Linked DNA regions of Struthio camelus. Each later gene encodes a partner of the first gene's protein in a complex. Links are inferred from orthologs where the notes say so. Each region holds a gene or a part of one and is shown on either strand. Other genes may lie near its edges.

Region 1 (9,932 bases):
GCATCAGTATTAGAGTACTAAAAGCATATATGGAAAAGATCATGCTACAGAAGAATATTGCTTAGTGTCATTCAAAAATATTGACTTGGAGGTCAAGTTCCTCTAAGAAATACTGCAACTAATAATACTGGGCTTTTATTATGCTGAAATAACTTTTATTTGCCCTTTTATAATCTTATCCATAATGGCTGAATACTAACTAAGGCATAGCACGTTTCAGTGTCCTACACTTGTACACAAAAGCTCTTTTGCAGAGAAATACAAGCTTCCTCAACTACAGTGAGTTATTGTAGGCTGGGGACCAAACAGACGCATTGCCTAAGCTCATGCCAGCGCCATCCTCTGTTACCTCCTACGTTGGTGCTGTTCACCTATGCCATCTCCAAAGCTAACTTGAATTCCAGGTAGTTGTTCACTAGCTTTCGTTTTTCAGCAAACTGATTAATCACGTGGTGTTTTTAGTTTGTTTGCTTACAAGTACCTTGTGTAATAAATCACACAATTCTAACCAATTCGGAATTCATTCACTTTGGGAAGTGAATTTCAGCTACCTGTTTATTCACATAAACATATTTACTTATTCAATTTTACTGATTTTTTCCTTTTTGAAATACAGAGGCTTAGTATTTTGTAAGTGCAAGGCAACAAATCTCCTTTTGAAAGGAGAACTAAGGCCAAAAGCATATTTTTTGGTTCTTTTCTGAAAGTTAATCAAAGAATCAGATGCAGATCTCTCACCTCTCCTTGCTGCAATGTTCCCTTTTCTCTAACATCCAACTGATATTTAAGTACTTCTGTGACACTGTTTACTGCCACTGCACTAGTAATGTTTTGTTTGTTCAGAATCATTAGAATACCTCCTTGTTGCAGGCTTTTCTTCCAAAGGCTGAAGTATTGACCGCTTTTCTACTCTTTGTCAGATTTAATACTAAGAACATAATGCAGTTCTACAATAGCCTAAAAGATCACATGTCCTCTGAGTTGGTAGGTACACTGAGTAGTTCTTGCATTCTGTGCCTTGAGAGCCACCTGGTGGAATACAACGTGAGAAATACTCCTGCAAATTATACAAGGAGTAAAGAACTTTTCAGAAATGCAGATTAAACTTGTATGTGTTGCTGAGAAGGAGGAAGAGAAGCAGTGAACAAGCGAAAATGCCAGAGAAGTGAAAGGTTGCATCAATTACGAATGCTTGTGTATTTAGTCAGTTTTTACAAATGTTGGCTGATAAAACAAGTATCTTATGCTGATTACAAATCTCTATGATCCAAATATCTATGAGAAAGGGTCAATCCTATCCTGTGCATTGCATACTAGATTCATTTTGCTGCAACATCTGCTGCAGTAAAGCAGTTTGGGTAGCCCACAGCAACTTGAAGGAATAAAAATATCTAGCAAAGGCACCACAACATTCTTCCCATCCTCAAGCCATTTCCTACTCTACAGGTTGAAAACATTGTGGAAAAAGCCTTCTAATGACCCTGGAAACTTCTGGTAGGTCACAGGAGAAGTTCTCATACATCTCCTAACAATAAATGCTCTTGGCAGCTTCCTTGACTTAGAACAGGTTTGCTGGGGAAAAAAGAACATATCAGGAGTGAAAGCAAGTAGCACAGTGACAAAAGCAGTAGTAACAGAGATGAGGTCTTTGTTTCATGTTTGTTATAGCAATTGTGGGTTTCGAGTCTATGGATCTCAAGCAATACAGCATTTTATAGCATATTTCAACCATAAATGTTGCATGTAAAATGTTGTACTGCCTCAGAGGTGCTAATACAAGGGTCTGGCTGGCAGAACAAAATTGCATTAGCAAACAAAACTTCCAAATAGTGCCTTTAAATTGGTGTGACATTTTCATGCTGTTAAAGTACAAGTTTCAAATATTCCACCAGTGTTTTGCCCCAGCCCAATAACATCCTTTAGTCTGGTCAACTGTAGCCAGTCACAACTTTGTCCTCCTAATAGGTTTTCAACTTGTTCCACTTGTGCTCCTAGATCACAGGCAATTTCACCTGCTACACAAAGCAGAAATTTAAAATTCTTACTGTTTTTATTTTCAGTACATGATGTTAAAATCTTTGAGAGAAATGCCACCTTTTGTGAAGCAACCCAACCTGAGGATGCAAAGATAACCTGCAAGATTCCATTTTGGTACTGGAAAACAGTAGAAGCCTAGCCATTTCCAAGTGAGTACTACTTAAGCAGAGGTTTTCTTAAGTAGCATTTCTATCAGCTTTTTGCTCACTTGTATTTTCACTTGATCTCTCTAAGAAAAATAATCAACCTACTGGAACCTTGTATAATTCCTTCCAATTTCCCATACTTTTTTTTTTACCAGCAAGCAACAACCAAGAATAAGTTCTTATAGAAATTTACTGTTCTTTGTTATGATCTCCTTAAATAACTTCAATGTTAACTGTTTTGCTTTGACAGACTAACCCTTGACAGTAGTCCTATGCTGTCATTCTGGCTACAAAATGTGGTTTTACGAGATGGACTGAGTCAAACCCCTGGGTCAGCTCCATGCTTTACGAGGCTCTTGCATAAGATCTAATGCACTGAAACAACAAAACATAAATCCGTAAGAATTATCTATGGCTTTTTAGCTACTGGATTAGTGGATTAACCCCTCTTCTAGAAGTATTCAACAAGATTTTCACCAGAGATGGCGAAAATAGCTGGGGCTGTGCAGATGGAAGGAAGGGGACCAGACCTCCCACTTCCAGCATCCACAAAGCCATTAGATTGACTCAGGGGCCCATGGAACTGTAGCATCATTAAAGTGCTGATGTTTGGAATTATTAACATGCATTAATGTTAAGATATACATGTCAGTATGCAAATCACACTGTTCATGGCAGTTTCTTAAGAAGCAAGGCTGCACTTAAGAAGCCACAGCGGCAGAAGCACTAAGATCTAAACAGCTTTCTGGAATCCCCCTGACTCTAGAAAGACTGAAATTCCACTCAAGTTTTCCCTGTTATCAGATATTATGCATTGCCTTTTTCAGGCCACAAAAGAGGTGCTGGGTCGCAAGACAACTTCTGACAGAACGCTGTATCTTCAATATGCAGTCAGTGCACTTTAAAGTTTCATTGACAATTTCAGAAAGGGAGAATTTTTTTGGAACTTTCCCATTTTTGTGCTTCTGAATTGTGACAATGGGCACAGGCATGAAAACAAGCCATAGTAAAGCATGAGCTCAGACCCACTAAAGAGTTTAGAAATTTACCCTTGCCCTGAAGGTCCAAGACTTTGTTCACTTCATAACTAGAAAAAAAAACCAAAATCAAAGGGCCAATATTTCGTCTATCTGTCCTTCTCTTGCCTCGGTTCCTGAGCCACTCGGTCTGATCTAGCGAGCCACTTCTGACCGAGCGGCTGTCTGAGCTGCTCGGTTGTCCTAGCAAAATACAAGTTGCATTTCCCTGCCATGACCAGGACCCACAGCAGAGGAGTTCATGGTCTAACCCACTTATTCCTCACTTGCTAATGTATGGCAATTTTTATTTTACAACTACTTGTATTCCGTTTCGAGGCAACTCAAATCGCTCGGCATGGCTGTACGTTATGACAGTTCATCCCCTCACGCAGGATGTGGCGAGTGGCCAGCAGGTGGTAACACTTGGGGCTGCGTGGGGTTTCCTCTTTTGCTCTTTCTCCTGTCGGGTGCAGAGACGATGCCAGCTGCCCTTTGCTCTCAAAATCTGAACGTTTATACCCTCTTTCAATGCTGTATTTCCTTAAGGAAATAAGGAGGCCCCGACTCCCCCCCCCCCCCCTTGGAGGGGAGGCGTTGAAATGCGGCGCCTGAGGCGGGACACTTCCCCCCCCCGCCCCTTCCCCCGAGCCCTGGGTCCGGAGCCGGGGCGAGGCGCGGAGCCCGGCCGGGCCGGGGGGTGCCCGAGGCACTCACGTTTGACGAGCTCCTCGCCCGCGAAGCCGGCGGCGCAGCTGGCCACCAGCGCGTAGGGCCCGGCCGCCGCCATCGCGCCCGCCGCCGCCGCCTCGCCCCTTCCGGCTGCCGGCCTGTACCACGCGGCTCCGGGAGAGGGGGGGGGAGCGAGGAGGGACGGCGGCCAGCTGGCGGGTGAGCCGGCCCAGCGGCGGAGCGGAGGCAGCGGGCAGTAGAAGCTCGCTGGCGCGGGGAGGAAAGCGGAGAAGAGCGTGCTCGGCTCCTGGTTTAAAGCGCCTTCCACTCTTCCCTCCCCACCCCCGCTCCGCGCGGAGGATGGTGCGGTCCGGCCGGCGCGTGCTGTTGCTAGGGGCGCGGCGAGGTGGCAGCCACCATGGCCGGCGCGGGGGCGGCAGCGGCGCCGCGGGAGGAGGTGGCGGCGGCGGTCGCCGCCGCCGCGCTGGTGCAGGTGGGTCGAGGGGCAGAGCCCCGAGCGGGCACCTCGCCGGAGCCGCCGCGCCGGGGGCTGCGGCCGAGCCCGGCGGGAGGAGGCGCGGGAGCCGCCTCGTGCCCGCGCTGAGGCGAGGCGTCGCGGCCCGGCGCTGTGAGGCGTCGTGGCGGGGCCGTTCCCGCCTCGCCGCGGGGGGGGCGGGCGGCCGCTCTCCTTTGCGGGATAAACGGATCCAGCTGTTGCCCCCCAAAGACCTTCTGTGGCTCTGTACGTCGCTCCGTGTATGAAATAAACGCTTTTTGCCTTTCCACGTTGGTTTCTCTGTGATCCTTGCAGTTGGATTTCATCCGTGGCGGTCTTCAGCCGTTGATCTAAGGGCGGTTAGGCTCCCGCGGGTGCCTAAGGCTCCGATGGAGCTCCCGTTGGCTCTGGCGACCTCCTCGGTCGCTGGATCTGGATGGGGCTTTGAAAACGTAGACCTGAGCAATCCAATAGTGGTGTTGCTTTTCAGGTTGAAAGCTTTATTGGAATGCCTTTTGACTGCTGGTCTTGCCCTGACAGTATTGTGTTCCTAAATATAGCTAAGCTGTGGGGTTGTCGTCTTAGAGCATCCACAGATACTTTATCTTGCTCTTTCACGTCCCGTTTGTGTTCCTGAAGTAGCAAACTTATTTCTAAAGGGAAGTAATCTGTCACAGTAAGCAAATACTTTGTAAATTGTCAACCTCATTCTATGCTCAAATACTGCCACCAAAAAAATTGTGCAAACGCCTAAAATAATTGAATGGTAATAGTTGTGTTGCAGTTAGTATTGCTTTTTTGCATAGAATGTTTCCCCTGTGGTTTTCAAATTTGTCAAGTTGAGGACCTGACTGCTCAAAGGGAAGTCCTTTGGAGATGTTCACTGGTTGCAGTGAAGCTGGAGCATGCCCATGGTGCAAGAGCCTAAGGTCTCCAGACAAGCCCTTGCACTGATAGCAGCATTGGGATTATTACTGGCAAAGCAAAGTCAGTGAAGTGTACGTTCCCTTTGCAAAATTTCAACCGAATGTTTCACTCGAAAGGGCAATTTTACTGATTCTTGACACTTTTTTGAGCTGCTGCAGAATGACAGGTGATGTGAGAAGGTAAAGTGGCCAGGAACGTATTCACAAGCTAGCTGTTTATAGAAAGGAACAGTGAAGTCCAGAACTGAAACATTGGATGATAGTTTGTGGTATGCAGAAACCATTCTGTAGTTCTGGGAGGTACTTGTCAAGAGGGCATCTTCATGCATCTGAGACTGAAGTTATCTTTGCAGAACTTGCAAAGAAATAAGTCATTTTCCCTGCAGACTAGAGGGATGTGAGCGTGAGCAGAATCTATCAAACTAATATTGCAAGCTGTAGTTGGTTGGAGTATCAGTAGCTTCAGTTTTCAGTATTAGTTGAAACGGATACTGACTAAGAATCAAAAAACCCTGTGCTCTTGGAGCACCATACCATGCAAATGGAATTAAATTGGGTTGTCTTTTCTGTTTCTAAGCAACATGAGTGTCTATGCTTTTCTTTAAGGTGCTTGCGAGAATGCATAACGCTATAATAGTTAATAAAGCAAGTGATGTTAGAGGTTTTCTACTGCTCAATTGATCTGTGAAGTTCAGTTCCTTCTTAACAAGCTTGCAAAAAAGAGTAGAGATTCTGCCTGTAGTAACTACTGAGTTAAACTGAGAGGTGTCTTTGACATATGAAGAAAGGCAATTGTCTCTAGGCTGCTGCTACTTTTCTTAAAAGGAAGAAAATGCACCCAAGATCTGACTTTAAGGTTTTTTTATTTGATCTTTTTCAGGGATCTAGCAGAATTGTTTTCTATGTGGCACAACAAAAAAGAGCACTTGATATCAACAGTGTTCCTGGAAACTTCTGGGGACAACACAAAACCCAAGAAAATGGGGTTTGGAGAATTTTGTCTGCCATTAAGATTTCATTTTGTTTTGTGTGTTCTCGTTGTGAATTTTGGATAATGACCAGGACTTTATAAATTTTACAGTTCTTAGCCTAAGGGGACCTTGAAGTTGTTTGGTTGCCACAGTATAAATATATGTTTTTGACATGGACAGACATGATCTCCTCTCAAGCTACTTGTTCCTTTCAAAAGCCTTTGGTAGTGCTTCTGTTCTTCCTGCATAGTTAAGCCATCTATGCCAAGATATTTGAAACGTAAGGGAAGAACACTCCTTGCAAAAGGACCCCAGTCTTGAAGTCTGCTGCCATTGCTTTACAAGATTTATTTTAAAATGAACTTCTTTGTTCAGGTTTTCTACTAATCATTGGCTTTAAAAGTCGTTGACTGTCTGTTCTTCTCGCTCTCATTTGTAAGAGTACGGAAGTACAGGAAATTTTTCTTTCCTGTATTTAGGAAGCATTTTATTTGAATTAAACCCTGCTGTATAAACCTATGGTTTTTGGTTATAGGTGTGATTATTGTAATAACTTGCTTTTTAGGTCCAAAAAGACCTTCACAAGCTTAAAGATAAAGTGAAAAATATCAACTTGAAAGGAAAACTAGAAACTGTGGATATTGGTAACCTGGAAACAGCAATTGAAAGAACTGAATCTGGGCTGAGAGTAAGTAAAATGAAATGGATCAGGAAGATGCTTCAGTCTGAGACCTGTCAGTAGGTCGCTGAGAGTGCACGGGGCCTTATGTTTGTCATCCTGCAAGTTCCCTTTCCAACTAGCAAATGATGGGGTTCATCAGACATAATAGTTTAGAGTGCTGATTTCCTTTTTTGAGGGGGAGGGGGGTCAGAATTAATTGATCTAGCGCCTCATATCATAAGCAAAGTTTTGCTTTAGTCTGATAGAGGCATAGGACCTATTGACTTTTCACTCAAGTGAAAGATCTAGATGGCTAAGTTAACTGAGTTAGGTTTAGTGTCCCTAACACCTTTTTTAATAGTCTAAACTTTTTTCTCTAACAGAAACATGCTGAAAACTATTTAAATGCTATAAACAGACAAGTGTTAACTATTTCTTCTACTGATAATAAAGGAGAACATTCAAAACAGCTTTCTAAATGGTAAGTGAAACAGTTGTTTTATTGTAGGGATGAATGCCAAGACCAACTGTGATATCAAAATCTTATGAAGTGAATGGGAATACCTGACCAGATTAGCTTATTTTGGCCATTTGCTATTTTGAGTTTGTTTTATTTTAAGTTAAAAAGCAATACAAAAGGAAGTGCAGTCCCAAGTAGCTACAGCAACTTTTCTGTTAACTCTGGTTTTTGCTGCACATGCATTTAAATGAAAATATAGTTGTTAAATTCAGCCAGATGGAAGCAGTATGGGTTTTATGGGTAAAATCAAAGTAACTTTTAAACCTTGTTGTTTGTTTCTTCTAAATCAGGGAGCTTCCTTTTGGTGCTCCTCAGAAACGACTTATTCTGCCACGAGTGCCTGTGGAACACCTGACTGTCCAGGAATGCAGCAAATCAGCACCACGTGTTTCTCAACCTTCACAGGTTTGAAGTAACACAGTACTTTGGCATAAACGATATTCAGTGTGTAGACCGGGGTCTTGCAGGTTATCAGTTAATTCTGCGGTGTTATGTTCTCACTCTCCAGGGGTTCAGTTTTGGCTCATATCATCCGGTGAGTGAATGTGTTAGAAAGTTCTCAGTAGAATGAGAACTGAGACAGGAGCCTTCTCCCTGGCTCACAGTCAGCATAAAGTCAAAGGTAGGAAGGAAGTCTGTACCATCATGGGCACCCCCAGAAAGAAGCCTTCCGTTCTTTTTTTCTTCCACAAGTAAGTTAAGGATCCCAGTCCTGCAAATACTATATGCTTAACCGCTTCTGTAAGCGATCCCTTTGAAATACATGGAACAATATACTGGAATAGCATGAGCACAGATATAAACACTTGCATTATTTGAGACTGACAGTAATTTTCTTTCTTTCCCACACCTTGCCATATCTTTTAGGTGAAAAGTCTTCCCTTTGTGTATGGGGTGGTCACATCTATGATAAATACAGCTTTCCTCCTTGCAATCTGTTTCACTGTCTTTCATAACTGAAACCCTTACACAATTACGTTACGCCTTAAAATGTTTGGATTTGAAGTATTTCTTGCTTTTTATTCTAAACTGAATTTTGATTGGTCAGTTCAAGGTGCTTTAATCAATTTTTTTTTAAAAACAGATAAGGTAATTAGTTCATTTGAAAAATACACATTGTCACAATTTGGGGTTATTGTTTAAATTAAAGGGATCTTTGAGAGAATCTTGGTGGTTCTCTGTTGTGCCAGTGCCATAACTAGGTATGGATTGAAGCTACTTGAAATGGTATAACCAAAATGAGTTACAGCCTGGCATTTACATTGCTGACTCTTTTTTTTTTTTTAAACAAAAAAAATTCAATATCAAATAGCATTAAAATATCTCTTTTCCTTGAAATGGTGGGTAAGGTGTAATAAAATCCCAGATTTTAAACGTGCACAAATTTCATCTTTTAAAAAACTGAGAATGAAATTCTGTAGGATTGTATTGAAAAAGTAGTCATCTTTTTAATGTGTAAAATGCTTATTGTTTAGGAAATGACTTATAATTTTCAAAGAATAAGAACTTTGGAATTTGTTGAACGGAGTACCCATGGCACCCTTAAGTTTTTGAATAGAAAAGAATGATACTTGTTAGTGTTTTGAAAGCAAGAGGTTCAAGTTTTCCACAGAGTATTCCAATCCCATCCTGTATGTATACCCTTGTATTTTGAAGAAATGGTCAGAGTTCAGCTACTCTTAGTCTCTATTATTTATGGTCTTTCAACTCTATGTGCATCAGTGAGCTTAATTTAGAGTGGGATGCATACTACGCCCTGCCATGACTTCCTCTTTTTTTTGTCTGGTATCTATGGCATCTGCTTGGAAATGCATATCCAGTGATACACAAGCTAGCCCTAATTTCCCATTATATAGAAAATGACAAACAGGGCTGTTCTGCCAGCTGTTCTACATGCCTGGCATGCCAACATAAAAAGCTTTTATTATTAAATAGTTGTGAAATCCAGCTGGGAAGTTATCACCTACAATTCCTCAGTTCCTATCTTTTCCTCAATTGCAACTATAAACAGTTTTTTTTATTTAAGCATACTTTTTTAAATTCCTTTCCACTATAAAGGAGTCTGTACTGAATAGCTTTCCATTTGAAGAGCGTTTATCCAAGTACATAGGTTTAAAGAAATCAACTTCTGAAGTTGTGTAAGTTCTGAAAGAAATAATTATTTCATATGGCAATGTTTCTGTGATTTGCAGTCTATAATACGCCATGTGAGTAGAAATGGAGCATAAGTTCTGTTTGTAGTAGTTAGCCTATAGCAAGGTTGGATTCAAATGAACGCGGATTCTATTTCCACATACACATTGCTAGAATACTTGTCATATGCTAAATAGCTTGCCCACAGATGTCAGAGCTGACTTGAAATTATTTACACACACATACTGTATTTCTGAATCATATCAACAGCAGGGTTGGACTGCGTGAATCTAGCTCATAAGGGGAATTGTGAAGCATTGTCCCCTTTGTGTGTGTTGCAGTTGGGTTTGTTCT
Region 2 (9,047 bases), on another chromosome or scaffold:
GAGCTACCCTATCATGGGATTTGAGTTTCAGGTCCGTGTCTGTGATTCCTGCTTTGAGTCAATCAAGGATGAAGAGTGAGTACTAAGAAGGGTGTCTGTTTTATAAAGCAATGCTGATGAGGTACAGAAACACTTGTGTTGGCTCTGTGTCCATGCACAGTGCTACACAAACATGCCAAGCTGAACCTGTACTAACAGGCCACCCTTGCCCTGGGTGCCCAATACACTCTGGCGCAGAGATCCCTAAACTGGCTCTGCAAGCCCGTTTAGATCAGATGTGGTGTTACACTTTTTTTTTTTTTAATCCAATCTGGTTTGTTGTCTTCCCCATAACCCCAGATCCAGACTACTACTCTGTGTGCTCTTCAGAGGCCAGCACTATTTTCCTGTGCAAGCAAACTGTTCAACATTGTTTACTGTCTCATTAAACTATTCTAGTGATGAAGGAACCCCTTTGATTATCTTAATATGAAGAGCACTTCCTGTTCAGTGTTCTGTCACCTTCTTGGAAACTTGGAGCACTAAAGGACTGAAGTAATCAAATGACCATTTTTTATTTTAAAAAAAGAGGGGAGGGGAAACTTGGAGCACTAAAGGACTGAAGTAATCAAATGACCATTTTTTATTTTAAAAAAAGAGGGGAGGGGAGAGATGCTGTGCCATTGTTTATCCCTTGTGGGAAAGGAAAAATGTAGCTGACCTTGACTTTATAACCAAGAGTACAGTTTTTTACTCAAACTGTGTTCTACTTCTGCTCTAAATCTATTAATACTCAAATTGGGGAAGGCTAGGCAATCTCTCACCCGTATAACTGCACAAGCAGTGATTTAGCATGACTTGCTAACTCAAATCCATCCCCTTTTAGATGGCAGTGCTGTTCTTGGGGCTGATTCATTAGTATTCAAGCAACTTAATTTTTTTTGAGAGTTCATTTCACACTGTTATAATGAGGCCAGGCAGCTTCATCTAATAGCTGGCTTTCATTTGAACTGTTTTCTTATAGCCGTACTTCCTTGGCAACCTTTCATGAAGGAAAGCACAACATTTCACACATGTCCATGGACTTCTCCAGAGGGTTAATGGTCACCTGTGGAAGTGACCGGATTGTGAAGGTATTCATGTACCTCTTTCCAATGTTTATTGAAGATACTCTTAGTTTCCTAATGATTGATGTTTGTATATACTTTTTCCCTTTTTGACAGCTGTAGCTACAAAGCTAACTGCTGTGAGCAGCAAGAATCATATTTGTTGCACGCTGTTTGTTCTTCTTGCACTGATTATGGAAATAACCTGCAACTCCACTGCATGGTTTAATCTAGCTGTCAGAGCCAGTTACTTTTGGTGTCCTCTGGACAAATGAAGCAGGCATCAACAGTGGCTGTATCTGCTAGTGGCCTTAGAAACGGACACGTGATAATATATGTAGGCTCCTTTGAATCTGAGCTCCCTGACTTCTTGGAGCAGTGCGGTGAAAAGCCCTGGTTATGGGGCAGTGACAGGGAAATGGGAATGGTTTTTTTTGTTGTTGTTGAACAAACCTGCAGAGCACTGCTACAAGAATCTCTTGAATCTGAAGTTTGGCTGTTGGTTTGCAAGACTGGTACAACTCTTTACCTCTTTTTCTGTTAAGTCTAATTTAAATAGGATTTGTTACCTTATGTCCAGGGAGGTCATTGCTTGCTTCTATGCTTGTTATAGCAATATTCTGAAACATAAGTGGTATTTCTGTATAATTCTCTGCAATATTTTCTTCTAGATTTGGGACATGACGCCAGTAGTCGGTTGCAGCCTTGCAACTGGCTTCTCTTCACGCTGATCTCCCGCCAGAGAGGTTTATGCACCTTATGTACAGCAATATGCACCAAATGAATGAAATCCTTCTTAAGAATACTACCGCAAACACTGGTTGCTTGATTCTTCTGCTGCTGTTCCAGGATGGACAGTCCCCTTTGTGCAGTACAGCTTTTCTGTTGGGCCCAACAGGAATCTCCTTGGTGCGGAAATGCAGTTTCACAGCCTCTTGGACTAACGTAAAATGGCTTACCTGCAACGTGACACCTTGATGAAAGGACCTGTTGTTAACTTGGTTAAACATGTAGTGTTAACAGTGTGCTTTCTCTGCTGATACATCTTATATAGATACCTTGTAGCTGAAAGAGTAAAACAAGTTTAGTAAATTCAATTTGTGCAAATAGTAAAATAACTTATTCTCTCTTCCAAAAAGCAGTTCTGCAGAAATACTTTTGAGCAGTCGCTGTCTAAACTGCCTCCAAAAGGTATATTGGTTATTCCTATGGAAGGAGGAAATACTTTTCAAGTGGCAGGTAGCTTCTTTCAGATGAGATGGTAAAAGAACCTTTGATCATGCAAGATTTCCTTTATTGGCTTTCTTGTAGTGTTTGTCTTCAAGTTCAGTTATTAGTGAAATCACTTTTGTGGGACACCTATTCTGTTTAGGTAGCTGGCAAATCTTCAGACAATTCCAAGCTCTTAAGTAGAATTTTAGCATAAGTAACAAACTTCTATGTCTTATTAAAACGTACAGCTCAGCTACTCTAGTTTAAAGACAGGCTGTAGGTATGAACCATATGCTTTGACAGCTCTATAATGCTGTTAGAATGGGAAGCTAAGCAAATCTGCCTTGTTAAGTGTAATGGCTAAGAAAAAATGGCCAGCTAAAGTATAGAGACCTTTTCCTGTGGAAAGGCTGATGATCCTTTAATGGTAAGGAACCTGTCTCTGCTAAAGTGCAGCATAAATCTAAATACTGCCTTGGTGTTGCTTAAAACTGATAAATACTGAGGCTTTCCAAAGCAATAATTACTGAGGTACAGAAAAGCTGCTTTCCCCCCTCTCCCCCCCCCACCAACGTGCACACACAGGTCCGTTAATCCTGAGATATCTATATTGATCCGTTCCCATTTCAAAGCTGAGAAGTATGAAGAAGAGCTAGAAGGCTTCTATGAGTGTGTAAGTGGCACTTACAGGGAATAGCTAGTGCGGTATTGCCAATAAATTGGTCTGTCAGTTTTATGAATCTTACATTTGAACACTGTAAGGAAAACTTATTTTGAAACCTTTTGAAAGCCAAGGCAATGGCACAGAGTTTAAGTTGGGAGCTTTTCAGGCTTTCTGAAAGCAGGTGCTTACTGTGAGGACAGAAAAAACTTGAGTGGGTCAGCTGGCCCAGAGTAGGTGATGGTGCATAACTGTCAAAGGTAATGGGCTCTTTCTGGCAGAGGACTAAAGGGTTAAACGGTCTTTAATACAGCAACAAGGAAGTGGTGCTATGACTGTAAGTGAAATCAAGTCCTAATTGCGTGATTTGACGTTAATATTCTGTGTTGGACCATGTTGTAGCTAATATATGAAGATTGCTGTATAGTTAATACATCATGATCCATTTCAATTTTAAGCCAAAAAGCTGATAGTCTCCAACAAGGGCATTAGAATCCAGAATATGTTAGTTACTGTTATCTTGGATCTGGCTTTGTCTACGTTTCTATGGGCATTTCCTGAAGTATTGCTAAGAGTCTGTTAATTTGCTAGGCTTACTGAGACAGTGGGGAAAAAAACCCAAATCCCTCTTTTGTGGGAATAACAAAACTTGTATTGCCCTCAATTTGGGATTTAGCACTTGTCACACTGATTTCATTCATCTTGTTACATGCTGTATAGCTTAGGTTTTTTTGTGAAGGCTTGTTTCTAAGCTACTGAGAGAAAAATCAGCCTGTGTTTGGGGAAAAAAGTTAGGTTACTGCTCTGAAAGCCTCCACCTCTGTAAATTGAGAAGGAAACTGAGTGCTTGAAGGGGTAAATGCATGCTGATAATGCTCTCAGACTTCTTCCTATCTAGCTTTGGAAGAGAACAGAAGCCTCCTCTTCCTTGCAGAACAGGCTTATGCAGCTAGAGCTGCTCAAGATACTGTGCTGTGGTGAGGAGGATCTAGGGTCATGTGTTAAACTGGGAGATTGATGTAGATGTGGTAAGAATAGCATATTTTTCAAACCAGGTGATCTGAAACTCTTCTTACACCAATGACACTGAGGTGTAACTCTTTAGCAGCTAACACTCCTGAACGTCAGCTTTTTTAGTTCTGGTTAGTCAACATGCTCCCTGCTCAGCATGGAACTCCCTGTCCCCCTTCCTTGTGAATACTTCCTCTGCTTTTTGACAGCCACTTATCTTACATTAAGGTTTTGCCACTAGATAATATATTCTCTACTACATATTGGTAAACCTAATGAATCTATTTTCTATAATTGCTATACTTAAAGATAGTGTCAGTTTGGGTATAACAAGATAATTATGGCTGCCAGAAGTCATTAGTCACTTAAGTATACTCTTGGTATTGAATGAGTAATGCTTACAAACCACTAAAGAGATACTGTTTTGTTTTAAACAACTGTTTTGAAGGTGCATACTCTGTCAAGAAACTGAACGTACTTCCACTATGTCAGGTCAAGTGTGCAATTACTGAGGAAGCTTGATTTGAAGCATTACTAATCTTGCTTGTATAACCTCTTCCATTGGGGCAGGGAAGGGGAGCAAAGGGTACTGATATGTGCTAATTCTTTACTAGTTGTATTTCTGTACCCTGCATAGTTAAGAGATGCTAGATAAATCTGTCCCTTGCTCCCTCTTGTCTGAGGTTTTGTTTTTTTAATTTTGATTACATGTACAATAAACTATTTCTTGATATTCACTTAGTCTATTTGGATGACCCATCTTTTCTTTGTTACTGAACAACCCCCATTCTATGCTCTCGCTCCTTCTTTAGGCTGCCCGCATCCAAATTCTAGGTTGCAGGAAGGGTTTGTCAGACCTGCTGCCTGGAGCTGAGTGAGCCACAGCGCTAGGGTGAAAGGCCCGTGATGAGCCAGTGAGTTGAGACAAACAACTGCTGTGTGGTTGTAACCTTGTTTACTGAACAGTAACTACCTGCAGATGGAGACATACAGCTGTGCTTCCTATCCTTTCTATCCTACTTGCCAGCTCATTTTAACTTCTCTGGTTATCTGGTTACTTTTCTGAGCTCTGCAATGGTTCTTACAATGCAGGGTATCAGAAGATAAACTTGCTTGCCTGAAATCGCACGGAGCAGCCTGAGGTATTAGAGAAGTACCTCCCTGGTGTTGGATGAGAGGGGCAGAATCTACTCTATGATGTACCCAGAGGATGCAAACTGCAGTCGCAGGAGGTGGTTACATTTGTCTCATAGCACTTTCACAGAGAGGAAAGGATAAGGACGAGCAGCAAAGTATCCCTATACCTAACAATTGCTCACAGCATTCACGCTCAAAGACAGAATTTGCCAACTTTGTGATATTTGGAATGCCTGAATATTTGCATATTAATAGGGAAGGGGCAATAGTCTCAATCTGAAAGGGTTTCATAAACTTTCATCCTCTCATGAGTGGCTGAGTAGCTTATGTAGTATAATATTGTAATGGATTTTTATCAAGACCTATCTAATTTTGATAGATTTCAAAAAACTAAACTTCTCACCTATCCCAAAGCAAATGCCCTGTTCTCTAGTTCCAACAAAAAATTGACTGTGAAATCAATCTCTCACTGATTCGTAGGCAGAAAAGCTTATTTAGAGGTCTGGGAAGATCATCTTATGGCATAATTTAAATCTAACCTAAGCTTCATATCTTAAGTTTGAGAACTTAAACAGTGTTCTCGTAGTGGAAATGCTGGGACACGTGGGTTGGTTTTTCTAAGTGAGAATGCATAGCTGACCGGTGTAAGGGTCTTAACATTCCTGGTGTTGCAAACTTAGAATCTAAGTTTCAGTTAAGCTGTGTGGCAGGTCTTGGCAATGCCTTTCTAGTGTGGTGTTGAACTTGGTCAATGGACAGACTAGGAATAAGTTGGATTCAAGAAAGGGACCAATTTTTTTTTTTTTATGTTGATCAAACTTACAAATACATTCTTTAAAGGGAAAGCTCTCCAAGGCTTTTTTTATGAGTAAATTTGGAAGTCTCGGTTGTGAATGACTTGGCTAACAATGAAATACCACGATCAAAATCTACAGAAGAATGAATTTCTGCTTGCTTAGCATGGCTTTTTTTTGTCATTAACTAAACATCTTTCAGTAAATTAAGATTTAACCTTTGGAAGCTTTATCTGCTTCTCTCATGAATATAAAGAGAATGGCAATTGCATGGATTTATCCAGAGCAGCCTTCTATCAAACCCTAGGCAACTGCAACCAGATGATCCCACAAATGTTTTTCTTACTTCAGAGGAAGTAAGGGCATGGTCTGTAGGTAGCATTATATAATCTACTAAATACAAATATGCAAAAGAAGCTAATAGTTGAACTAATTCAACTACTTTGATCACTTGTAAAATGAGAGAAAGTAGTTTTAAAATAATAAATATCAGTAATCTACAATTTTTCCTTTTTAAAATAAAATCAAATATAAAAATATTCTATAAAATAAACCAAAATATGAGATCCTTAGAAACTTTGCTTTTTGCTTGCATATCATGAGACTTCCTCCTCCCCCCACAACATACATGTAGCTTAGTGTTGCTAGACTAATTGCCCACCAATGTATCTGTGTACCCTAGATCTCTTAACAGTTTTGCTGTATAATCTGCCCTTGCCCAGAGAATTTGAGCCAGATTCTTTAATTTAGACTCCATGTAATTACAGTGACCTAGGTGGGATTGGCTGGCTTGTATATGGAATAGTTGGTCCATTCTTTCCCGATTGCTCTGTCATACAGATAGCATGGGTTGCCTCATGTCTAGCTGTGTCATAACTGAATTATGTAGTGTTCTTAATTTTTGTTTGCAAAGGCCCTGGTACGATGTGAATCATGCTTTCTGTGAGAGCTAGAGGCTTAGGTATTCCCTAGCTTTTATCCAGCCCCAAACCAAGATCAACTCATGTTAGAAACACAGGTTGACTGTGGGATTTCCCTTCTGTGTTTTTATGCTTGGTCTTTCCATTCTTCTTCTGAAGTATATTGGCGTGTTCTTCAGTAAACACTGATTTGCAATAACAAATGTTGAGGAGGTACACCCTTTTCTTGCTTTTACCTTGTTTATAGGGGAAGACACAGAATAGGGTTAAACCTGCTCCTAACTTTATTATTTTTGTCTTTCAAATAAAAAAGATTCCATGGCCCTTGTGTATCTCTATCAATTTTCCTTTCCACAGCCTGTTTTCCCTAGGTTTTGAGTTTAAAATGAGCTACTATCAATACTTATATGCATGTATCTCTCAAAGCTCTTAAGAGCGGTCATGAGCTGAAGCTCACTCTCCATGCCGCTGATCGGAAGCCAGCACTGCTTGCCAATGTTCCTTGCTGCTGCTAAGCTAGTGCTATTTTTCTGTTGTAGTCACTATCCTTTCTTATCTCCATTCTCATTATATTTCTCCTTCTTTCTCTCTTAGTTTGTGGCTCCTTCTCCAGGTGTCCTCTGCAGCAGCATGTCTGTGTTGGAGTTTGACCCCTTCAGATGGGTGATGGGAGCTCTTGAAGCACACCTCGACTGCTGCCTGAGCTTACTGATGTGTCAGGTGAGCGGGTCTTGCATGGCTGAGCTAAGGATGTCTGAGGCAGCAGACAGGGAAGGTAAGTGTCTCTGTGGAAAAACCCTGCTGTCGCACCCTCCGGTACAAGACTCCATCCCATTAAGCACCATAGCAATGCAGCCATACTTGTTGTTCTGCTCACTTTACCCCTTGTATGTTGGAAAACAATATGGTAAAAGCTGCTACCTCTTCATCCCTGACTTTGTGTTATGTCCTAGCTAAGAGGTGGCTACCAGTCTTTTTAATCTTGGTGATCGGCAGGGAAGATCTGGAAGCCAGAAGGCTGCCAGTAGTGCTTACTGGTTTTGAAGAAAGTCAGGGTGACTTCTCTAAGGGTAAAGGAACGTTGTAAATGTCTAAATGATATCTGTGGAACATTCCATTTAAAACTAGATCTCTTAAGCAGAATCTAAAAGAGGGAAATAAGGCTGTATATTATGTTCAGTCCAGCCCTTTTAGGGAGGAGAAATGCAGGGCCTATAAGTATGTTTATAGGAAACAAGGGATGTTTTAGTCCTTCTGCTTCAAAACAGTAGTTCTCTTGTTTTACTGTGTGAATTTATCAACTGCGTGTCGTACTGTTTCAAAGCGTGCTCTGAGTATGGTTAGGTTTAATAATCAAGGTGAAAGAGAAGAGTGAAAGAAACTGAGGGAAGGTGGAGAGGGGCAGTGAAATGTGTGGTGGCGTGGTTAAACCACGCAGAGGCACTGGGGCCTTTGATTTGAGGGGCTATAAGGAAGGACACAGTGGATCCAATAGCTGTTAATCTAAAGGAGTGCAAGAGGGCTACAATGGTTTTTTCCCCCCCCCCCCCCCCCCCGATAGAAGTAGAATTCTGTATGGAGCTTTATTAAGATCAGGCCAAAAGGAAGATAAACTTTAGTTTCCTACAGCTAGGAAATGGAATGAAATGCTACTTGACGCCCTTTAAGCGCTTGTGTACCCTTGTCAATTCAGTACAGGCTGTAATGGTTTGAGAATGCAATTTTTACGCTTCTCTAGTGCTTTAAACTGCTGAAATGTTGGTGCTGCTTACTGAATATGCTAGTGTTGCTGATAAGTACAGAAATCTGTGATGCTGAAATAGAATTCTATATGTTCCTTAGGGATATGAATGTTCTGTCTTGTACTTAAGTTCTAGAGGATTCAGATCTTGTGAGGAAACGACAAAAAGGAGTAAATGAAATGCAGGGAAAAATTGTCTGGAGAAGTACAAACCCCTGCCTAGTAATCAAGAGCAAGTGTTAGATTGCCTCTATTGATCCAAAGTGCAATTAAAAGCTACCTCCAGCAGTTGAATTTAGATTGGGCTTTTATGGGTTTTTTTCTTTCCCCTATGGACCTAGTATTGAGTCGGGGGAAAAAAACCTGTGCAGTAGGTCTCCTGTAAAATCACTAAGTGTTCATGAACCTGAACTTCTTTAGTTCTCAATGGTTTGCTCATCTGAAATGGTCTGTGGCTCTGTGTGCATGACAAAAGCTCAATTTAGG

Evidence for each region.
Region 2: the proteins of AAGAB (region 1) and AP1S3 are in contact, whole or in part, in a crystal structure (PDB 9DDT), measured with the Homo sapiens proteins. The link is inferred for Struthio camelus from reciprocal best matches to the Homo sapiens genes AAGAB and AP1S3. Residues at the interface, in NP_078942.3 of Homo sapiens: Asn51, Lys52, Tyr53, Tyr54, Glu108, Val109, Met110, Ile111, Gln128, Ile132, Gly135, Phe136, Glu137, Asp151, Phe153, Pro154, Glu155, Arg161, Gln164, Ala165, Asn167, Ala168, Asn169, Val170, Met176; in NP_001034658.1 of Homo sapiens: Arg10, Gln11, Lys13, Arg15, Gln37, Leu40, Ser41, Arg61, Tyr62, Ala63, Ser64, His85, Val88, Asp92, Phe95, Val98, Glu100, Leu101, Asp102, Ile104, Phe105, Asn106.

Annotation. Positions count from the first base shown.
Region 1 is NC_090953.1:2,582,269-2,592,200, reverse strand, and holds the start of AAGAB (alpha- and gamma-adaptin-binding protein p34), read right to left. Parts: upstream 4,046-9,932; 5' UTR 3,990-4,045; coding exon 3,917-3,989; intron 1-3,916. UniProt on the Homo sapiens protein: May be involved in endocytic recycling of growth factor receptors such as EGFR.
Region 2 is NC_090950.1:12,751,792-12,760,838, reverse strand, and holds the start of AP1S3 (AP-1 complex subunit sigma-3), read left to right. Parts: upstream 1-4,757; 5' UTR 4,758-4,883; intron 4,884-7,414; 5' UTR 7,415-7,450; coding exon 7,451-7,540; intron 7,541-9,047. Other genes in the region: WDFY1 (WD repeat and FYVE domain-containing protein 1), read left to right, coding at 1-75, 1,004-1,112, 1,757-1,816. UniProt on the Homo sapiens protein: Subunit of clathrin-associated adaptor protein complex 1 that plays a role in protein sorting in the late-Golgi/trans-Golgi network (TGN) and/or endosomes.